Linked DNA regions of Callithrix jacchus. The main gene of each other region encodes a partner of the protein of the gene in region 2 in a complex. Links are inferred from orthologs where the notes say so. Each region holds a gene or a part of one and is shown on either strand. Other genes may lie near its edges. The genes, in order: SHANK1 and ARHGEF7.

Region 1 (3,801 bases), on a different chromosome or scaffold from region 2:
CGGCCCCGCATCCCGGAGTGAGCAAGGCCTGGAGGTCCGGAGCCCCCGAAGAGCCCGAGCGGCTGCCGCTGCACGTGCGGTTCCTTGAAAACTGCCAGCCCCGGGCCCCCGTGGCGAGCGGAAGGGGGCCCCCCTCGGAGGACGGGCCAGGGGTCCAGCCACCCAGCCCACGCCGGTCCGTGCCCCCCTCCCCGACCTCCCCGAGGGCCAGTGAAGAGAACGGGCTGCCCCTGCTGGTCCTGCCGCCTCCCGCCCCCTCGGTGGATGTGGAAGACGGCGAATTCCTCTTCGTGGAACCGCTGCCTCCGCCCCTGGAATTCTCCAACAGCTTCGAAAAGCCGGAGTCGCCCCTCACGCCTGGGCCTCCGCACCCGCTACCCGACCCACCTGCTCCGGCCACCCCGTTACCTCCCGTGCCGCCCCCGGCTGTCGCCGCAGCCCCTCCCACCCTGGACTCCACCGCATCCAGCCTGACATCCTATGACAGCGAGGTGGCCACCCTGACCCAGGGGGCCCCCGCCGCTCCTGGGGACCCCCCTCCACCAGGCCCACCTGCCCCAGCAGCACCGGCTCCCGCTGCCCCACAGCCCGGCCCAGATCCTCCGCCTGGCACGGATTCTGGCATCGAGGAAGTGGACAGTCGGAGCAGCAGTGACCATCCGCTGGAGACCATCAGCAGTGCCTCCACGCTGAGCAGCCTGTCTGCCGAAGGTGGTGGCAGCGCAGGGGGTGGGGGCGGGGGTGGGGCCGGTGTGGCCAGTGGGCCAGAGCTTTTGGACACCTATGTGGCCTACCTGGATGGCCAGGCCTTCGGGGGCAGCGGTCCTCCCGGCCCGCCATACCCTCCTCAGCTCATGACTCCCTCTAAGCTCCGCGGCCGGGCGCTAGGAGCTGCTGGAGGCCTGCGGCCTGGCCCCAGTGGGGGACTCCGAGACCCTGTCACTCCCACTAGCCCCACCGTCTCGGTGACAGGAGCTGGAACCGATGGGCTCCTGGCCCTGCGCGCTTGTTCAGGACCCTCCGCGGCCGGCGTGGCGGGGGGTCCGGTGGCTGTAGAGCCAGAAGTCCCACCGGTGCCCTTGCCCACGGCCTCCTCTCTGCCTCGGAAGCTGCTGCCCTGGGAGGAGGGCCCGGGCCCACCGCCACCACCTCTGCCCGGGCCCCTGGCCCAGCCTCAGGCCTCAGCTTTGGCCACAGTTAAAGCCAGCATCATCAGTGAACTCAGCTCCAAGCTTCAGCAGTTTGGGGGCTCCTCGGCAGCCGGAGGCGCTCTGCCCTGGGCCCGAGGAGGCAGCGGGGGAAGCACAGACAGTCACCACGGGGGAGCCAGCTACGTCCCTGAGAGGACTTCCTCCCTGCAGCGGCAGAGGTAAGCGGGGGATGGTGGCCAAGAAGGGAGGCCAGAGGGCTTGATTTCATGGGTACCAGAGTCCGCTTACCCCATGGCTGTGTCCCTTTAGGGTCTCAGGGTGGCAGAAAGGAAACAGAAGCCAGGCTGGTTGCTGTCACAGAAGCGCACCTTCAGATACTTTTTTTCTCTTTCCTTTTTTTATTTTTTTGAGACAGGGTCTCACTCTGTCACCTGGCTGGAGTGCAGTGGTATAATCATAGCTCACTTGCACCCTTAAACTCCTGGGCTCAAGCAATCCTCTGGGACTGCAGGTGCATGCCACCATGCCTGGCCAATTTTCTCTCTCTCTCTCTCTCTCTCTCTCTCTCTCTTTCTCTTTCTTCTTTCCCAAAGTTTCACTCTTGTTTCCCAGGCTGGAGTGCAATGGCACAATCTCTGCTCACTACAACCTCCACCTCCTGGGTTCAAGAGATTCTCTTGCCTCAGCCCCCCAAGTAGCTGGGATTACAGGCATGAGCCACCATGCCCAGCTAATTTTTGTAATTTTAGTAGAGACGGGGTTTCTCCATGTTGGTCAGGCTGGTCTCGAACTCCCAAGCTCAGGTGACCCACCCGCTTCAGCCTCCCAAAGTGCTGGGACTACAGGCATGAGCCACCACGCCTGGCTCTTTTTAATTTTTTTAGAGGCAGGGTCTCACTCTGTCACCTGGCTGGAGTGCAGTGATGTAATCATAGCTCACTTGCACCCTCAAACTCCTGGGCTCGAGCAGGCCTCTAGGACTACAGGTGCATGCCACCATGCCCCGTCAACTTTTCTTTTTTTTGGGGGGGGAGACAGAGTCTTGCTCTGTTGCCCAGGCTGGAGTGCAGTGGTGCAATCTCCTCTCACTGCAACCTCCACCTCCCAGGTGCAAATGATTCTAAAGCCCCAGCCTCCTGAGTAGCTGGGATTACAGGTGCCCACCACCATACCCAGCAAATTTTCGTATTTTAGTAGAGGCAGGGTTTTGTCATGTTGGCCAGGCTGGTCTTGAACTCCTGACCTCAAGGAATTTACCCCACCTTGATCTCCCAAAGTGCTGGGATTAGAGGCATGAGCCACTGCACCTGGCCATGGCCAATTTTTCTTAAATTTTTTGTAGAGACCAGCTATGTTGCCCAGGCTAGTTTCAAAGGAGTTTGAAAGCAATCCTCCTTTTTTGACCTCCCAAACTGTTGCAATTACGGATGTAAGCGACTGAGTCCAGCCTTTACATTTCCGTTTATCTCAGTAGCTTCCGCTGTGTCTTCCCATCACCATCACAACCTATATCCCATAATGAACAAAAAGTCATTAACAAAGGATACTGGAGCGAGACCTGCTTATGTTTGTTTCCTTGGTGAGCCGTCACTTCTTTCTGCCAGTCCCTGAAATCTGTGAGTCTCCTGAAGCCTGTGTGGTCCAAGACACGATGCAGTTGCAGGTGTGGCTCTAGAGCCCACCTTCTCGGCTTCCAGTCCCAGCCTCCCACTTTCTACCTGAGTGATCTTAGGCAAATGAATGCTAAGGCAAATTCTACCTCTCTGTAGAAGGCGGATGGCCTAGTGCCAGCCTCAAAGAGTTTCTGAGAGGATTTAATGTGGGCCATTGTTGTAACATGAGATGGGGCCTCTAACCAGAGCCCAGCAACTACTACATGGGGAAATACGGGATGAGGCCGAAGGTTCCCGGAGCAGCCAGTTAGCTACCTCGCCACAGAATTCCAGCCGATTCAAGACCTTCTAGTCCTAGAGAAAGTAGAGTTACATTTCTGATTCAGATACACAGAGGGTTGGGAGCAGTTCTTAAATCTCCTTGTCCATCTGCAGAGTTCACTCGTATTCTGTTTGAAGATCTGTTATCCTAATGTGTGTGACATTCAAATATGGGTTCAGGGAGTGTATATTTGGGGCAACTTCAATCTATGCTCCCAGGCTGTAAAAAAATAAAAGAAAAAGGAGACTGGGCACGCTGGCATGCATCTGTAGTCCCAGCTACTCAGGAGGCTGAGGTGAGCAGATCACTTGAGTCTGGGAGGTTGAGGCTGCAATGAGCTGATATCACACCAAGGCACTCCAGCCTGGGCAACAAAGTGAGACCCTGTCATAAAGAAAATCAAAGAAAGAAAGAAAAGAAAAAGTGAGTGTCTATTATCAGAGCAACTTGAATCAATGCTCCTAGGTTGTATAAAAATAAACAAATGTGGCCGGGTGTGGTGGCTCATGCCTATAATCCCAGCACTTTGGGAGGCCGAGGCGGGTGGATCATGAGGTCAAGAGATCGAGACCATCTGGTCAACAAGGTGAAACCCCGTCTCTACTAAAAATATAAAAATTAGCTGGGCATGGTGGTGTGCGCCTGTAGTCCCAGCTACTCGAGAGGCTGAGGCAGGAGAATTGTCTGAACCCAGGAGGCGGAGGTTGCGGTGAGC
Region 2 (4,306 bases):
GGACTCTAGGGACAAGGCTTGATGTAGCTGTGGATTGCTCTCCTGTTTCCTAGAAAGCTTACAGGGCAGCAGGAAGAAACGGGTTAGCTATGTCTTTACTGGTAGAGCTGAGCTTCGGGTGCCATCTCTGCCATGTGTTCGGCATCTGATCGGTAAAACGGGGACCATGATGGGAGGTGAGGCAGTAGACAGCTCTTCGTGAGGTTCCTGCTGGTTGCTGTTATCACGGAGAGCACATTGTCCTCGTAATCCAGAATTCATACTGCCACTTGAATAGTTTGTGTATTTGCAAAGAAAATTTTAAACACTTAACTCAAGGCTAGAAATAAATGCAGTTAGTTATTGCAAGAGAAAACCACCGGCAGAGGCAGAGGGAGACGACCTAAGCCTCTGATTATTTTTGGAAGCTTTATGTGCTTTCTGGCCTCTGCCACTGAATGGATTAATGGATGTGCCTGGCATAGAGTAAGCGCTTTGCTTGTTCAACTGCCCGCGGGTCGCAGCGAGCAAACTGGGGAGAGCGCTCAGGGGCAGTGGGTGGAGTGAGTGGAGACGCGCGTCCTTTTAAGAAAAGGCTCCATTTGTTCCTCGCGTGGAAATGTGTGCGTGTCATCAGGTGCTCGAGGAAGCTCGCGCATGACCCGACAGCTGCCGTCTGGGATCTCCAGGTTCGGCCTGGCGCGTTCACAGCGCGGTCTCCAGCCCTGCTCTTCCGTGACGCTGCGCCCCCCGACTCGCAGCCCTGACCGACCCGGCCCTTCGCACAGCCCTGCTTCAGGCCGCCCATTCTCCTTGACCTTCCCCCAGCAGGGTCTGAGGCGTCGCCGCCCGTTTCGAGCGGGGTCACGCAGGCCCCTTCCCGGCCTGGAAGGTCAGCGCCGCGCGCTGAGCGTCAGTCCCCGCTCAACCCCCGCTCCAAACCCCGCCGGCCGCAGATGTCATCCTCATCCGTGCTCCGCAGTGACCGGAGGGAGCGAAGGGAAACAAACCAACGTCTCGTTTTCAGCCTCTCCCCGCCACCGTGACACAAAACCGGCAAAAATAAAAAGAGCATTCTGGGAAGCACTTCATCATTTCAACGCTCACGAATTCAAAACATAAACAAAGGGCTCCCGGGGCCCCGGCCGGGGGCGCGGGGCGCGGGGCGCGCGGCGGGCCCGGGGCAGGTGAGCGCAGGTGCGCGCCCGCCCCCGCCCGGGGCCCCCGGCTCCTTCTCCCCGCGCCCTGCGCCCCACGCTCCGCTCCCCCTTCCCCGCCCGCTCCCCGCTGCCGCCGCCGCCGCCGCCCCGCGCACGGCCTGGAGCGGAGGCTGCGCAGGGCGCGGGGCGGCGCGGGCCGGGCGCGGGCCGGGCGGACGGCCGCGTCTTTCTTCTCCTGGCGGTGATGTCATTGGGCGACGGCGGCCGAGGCCGGGGGGCGGCGGCGGGCGCCCGCAGGTTCCTGAGCCGCTCCTGAGAAGGCGCCTGACCGTGGGCCGGGGCGCACGGAGGAGCGGGCCGGGCCGGGCCGGAGCTGCTGGGCCGCGCCGAGCCGATCGCCGGCGCCGGCCGCTCCATGGGCGAGGAGGCGGCGGCGGCGGCGGGGGCGGTGGGGGCCGCGGGCCGGGCAGCCGCTCCGAGGTGAAGCAGGCGCGCGCCCCTCCCCGCCCGCCCGCCTCCCGGGCCGCCGCGATGAATTCCGCGGAGCAGACCGTTACGTGGCTCATCACCCTGGGGGTGCTGGAGTCGCCCAAAAAAACCATCGCGGACCCGGAGGGCTTTCTGCAGGCGTCGCTGAAGGATGGGGTGGTCCTCTGCAGGCTGCTGGAGCGCCTGCTGCCCGGGACCATCGAGAAAGTAAGTCCTCGCCCGCGCCCCCCGGCCCGGCCCGCTGCGGCCCGGGATGCGCGCGGAGCACCTGGGGCCGGCCGCGCTCGGGGGACCGCGCGCCCTCCTTTGTGCGCGGAGCGGCGGCGCGGCCGGCGCCAGGACCGTGGCGGGAGCTCCGGGGGCGCCATTGTGAGCGGGGCTGGGTAGGGGGCGGGAGGAGGGGCGCGGGCGGTGGGGGTCCGAACGCCGAGTGGCCCCTCCGCGCTGGAGGTGGGCTCCGCTGCCTCGCCGCGGCCCGGTCGGAACCGCGTTCCGACGCCGTGCGGCTCTGTCCGCTGGCTTTGTGTGGACAGTTCTTGCCGGTGGCGTTGCGTGTTTCGCCTCCCGGTGAATGGACCGGTTGCTCTGCATTTTTAAAGATGCTCGCATCTGCGGCTGAGGGCTGCGCTGGGAAATGATGTACTTACTTTCCCCTGGAGAAAATTACCCCCATCCGAGAGGACGGCAGACACAGGGTTTAAGCCCCGGCACTCTGCAAGGCTTGTTTAAAATTTCAGATTTCGTTCTCAGGTCCCTCCCTGGTTCTGAATAGAACCCAGAGTCCTGCAGGCACTGCCTCTCCCTCCCCTCTGGTAGTTCCCAGACTGGAGCGTGTGAACCCTGACCCGAATTTCTGGAAGTGATTAAAGTTTGTTTTCATCGCCCACAAACCGGCCAGCAGGGCCCAGGAGACAGGAGAGCTTCTAAAAACGAGGTCTCCCTGTAGCTCAAAATACCAATCTTATTCCCAGGGTTTTTTTTTTTTTTTTTTTTTTGGAGGAGGGGAGGGTGGTGGGTGGCCAATACACAGCGTTCAGATCAACAATTATTTAAAATGTGTTAAATACAGAAACTGAAGAGTACCACAACTAGGAAGAACGACTTAAGTTTCTAAGTGGGGTGTATTGGCCCCCATACAGCATGACAACTTGTAAATAAAATGCCACCTAAGTGACTTGAAAAGTAAAATGTTTAATCTTATACACGTGCGCATGTTCTGCTGCTACATTTTAAATGAGGTCAGAAAACATTAAATGTGAATTTGGCTTACATTCCAGTTTTAGGTATTTTTCTTACTTGGCACATTTTTATGAAGACGGAATCTGCATATTAGAGTGTCCATGAAATAAAAACGTTCCTTTAAAATGAACCTGATGTCACAGTGACATGATGATTTAAGACAGGAGGACTAAGGAGCAGGATCTGACTTTCAAGGCATTCAAAATACTTTGTTGTTTGGAGACTGGTACCTCTGGTAATACAAGACAGATGTCGAAAAGTGTTGAAATACATGCTAAGTTCGCCAAAATAGGCTTGAATAAAATCCTGTATCATCTCTGAAAGCAAAGCTTTGAGAAACTTCATATGCCGTGTTGATAAAAACGTGTCGCCATCAAAGAATGTGGTGTTTGGCATATTAACTGCATTAATAGTGATTGACAGGCTTCAATAATCATTTTCTTCTGAATTCTAGAAAGATTTTCCTAGAAAACTGTAGCATTCATTTCAACTCTAAAACAACGGAGAGAGGAATGAATAAAATGTTGAGCTTGCAGAAGCCAACTTAAAACAACTCAACATATTCTAAAACTGCAGTCATTTGGAAATGTCTTAGGTCAAATATGTTTTTCATTCCCCCCCAAGCTCCAGTTGGTTTGTTTTAAACTGACTCTGTCACAGTGAAAGTTTAATGTAAAGCAGCATATTGTAGACACAGTTGCTGGTTCTCTGGAATTCAAAGGTAGGTTTTTGGAGCAAAATAGCCATTTCTGTCTCTAAGATCCCTGCGTTTCAGAAGTTTTGTGAGCTTTTTCCATTTCCCAGGAGAGTTATCTGGGTTTTTTCTTTCTTTCCTTTCTTTCTTTCTTTTTTAAATAGAGATGGGGTCTTGCTATGTTGGTCAGGCTGGTCTTGAACTCCTGGCCTCAAGCAATTGTGTCCCATTTTGGCCTCCCAAAATGCTGGGATTATAGCCATGAGCAGTCATGCCCAGCCAGTTATCTGGGTTTTTGATGTTTGCATGCTTACCAGATAATCTATGCCACAAAGCATACATGCTGAATAATTTTTACTTAAATGTGGGAGTGTGAATCTGAGGATGTTTTTCCTTAAAAAGAAGCATTTGGATACTTAACCAAATATTCATGTGGATGTGCAGGGCTTCACTTGACCTCTGCGGCAGGGGTGCACGGACAGCCAGTGAGCAGAAGGCAAGTGGCCTGCAGCCTTCGCCTCTGCAAGCTCATAAGCTGGCCTGAGCCACGAGGCTGGGGATGAGTGCCGGACTAAGAAACGGAGCTGGGCGCCTCGGCTTTCCCATATGGCTTTTATTAAGAAACCATGTCCTAAAGCGTTTCTTCCATTACACTCATTTGTTCTGTTTCAGAGTTAGGAAGAGGATGGAGGGAGCAGAGAGGGCGTTCATAGAGTGTCAGATTCTTCTGCTCATTTAAAGGAAA

The links.
Region 1: the proteins of ARHGEF7 (region 2) and SHANK1 are in contact, whole or in part, in a crystal structure (PDB 3L4F), measured with the Rattus norvegicus proteins. The link is inferred for Callithrix jacchus from reciprocal best matches to the Homo sapiens genes ARHGEF7 and SHANK1. Residues at the interface, in XP_063131056.1 of Rattus norvegicus: Asp735, Ala737, Trp738, Asp739, Glu740, Thr741, Asn742, Leu743; in NP_113939.2 of Rattus norvegicus: Gly673, Phe674, Gly675, Phe676, Val677, Leu678, Arg679, Gly680, Ala681, Lys682, Phe696, Glu703, His735, Arg736, Val739, Ile742.

The regions. Positions count from the first base shown.
Region 1 is NC_133523.1:44,306,147-44,309,947, reverse strand, and holds part of SHANK1 (SH3 and multiple ankyrin repeat domains protein 1), read left to right. Parts: coding exon 1-1,369; intron 1,370-1,460; coding exon of another isoform or gene 1,461-1,605; exon of another isoform or gene 1,606-1,866; intron 1,867-3,801. UniProt on the Homo sapiens protein: Seems to be an adapter protein in the postsynaptic density (PSD) of excitatory synapses that interconnects receptors of the postsynaptic membrane including NMDA-type and metabotropic glutamate receptors via complexes with GKAP/PSD-95 and Homer, respectively, and the actin-based cytoskeleton.
Region 2 is NC_133502.1:26,672,871-26,677,176, forward strand, and holds the start of ARHGEF7 (rho guanine nucleotide exchange factor 7), read left to right. Parts: upstream 1-1,304; 5' UTR 1,305-1,670; coding exon 1,671-1,835; intron 1,836-4,306. UniProt on the Homo sapiens protein: Acts as a RAC1 guanine nucleotide exchange factor (GEF) and can induce membrane ruffling. Functions in cell migration, attachment and cell spreading. Promotes targeting of RAC1 to focal adhesions. May function as a positive regulator of apoptosis.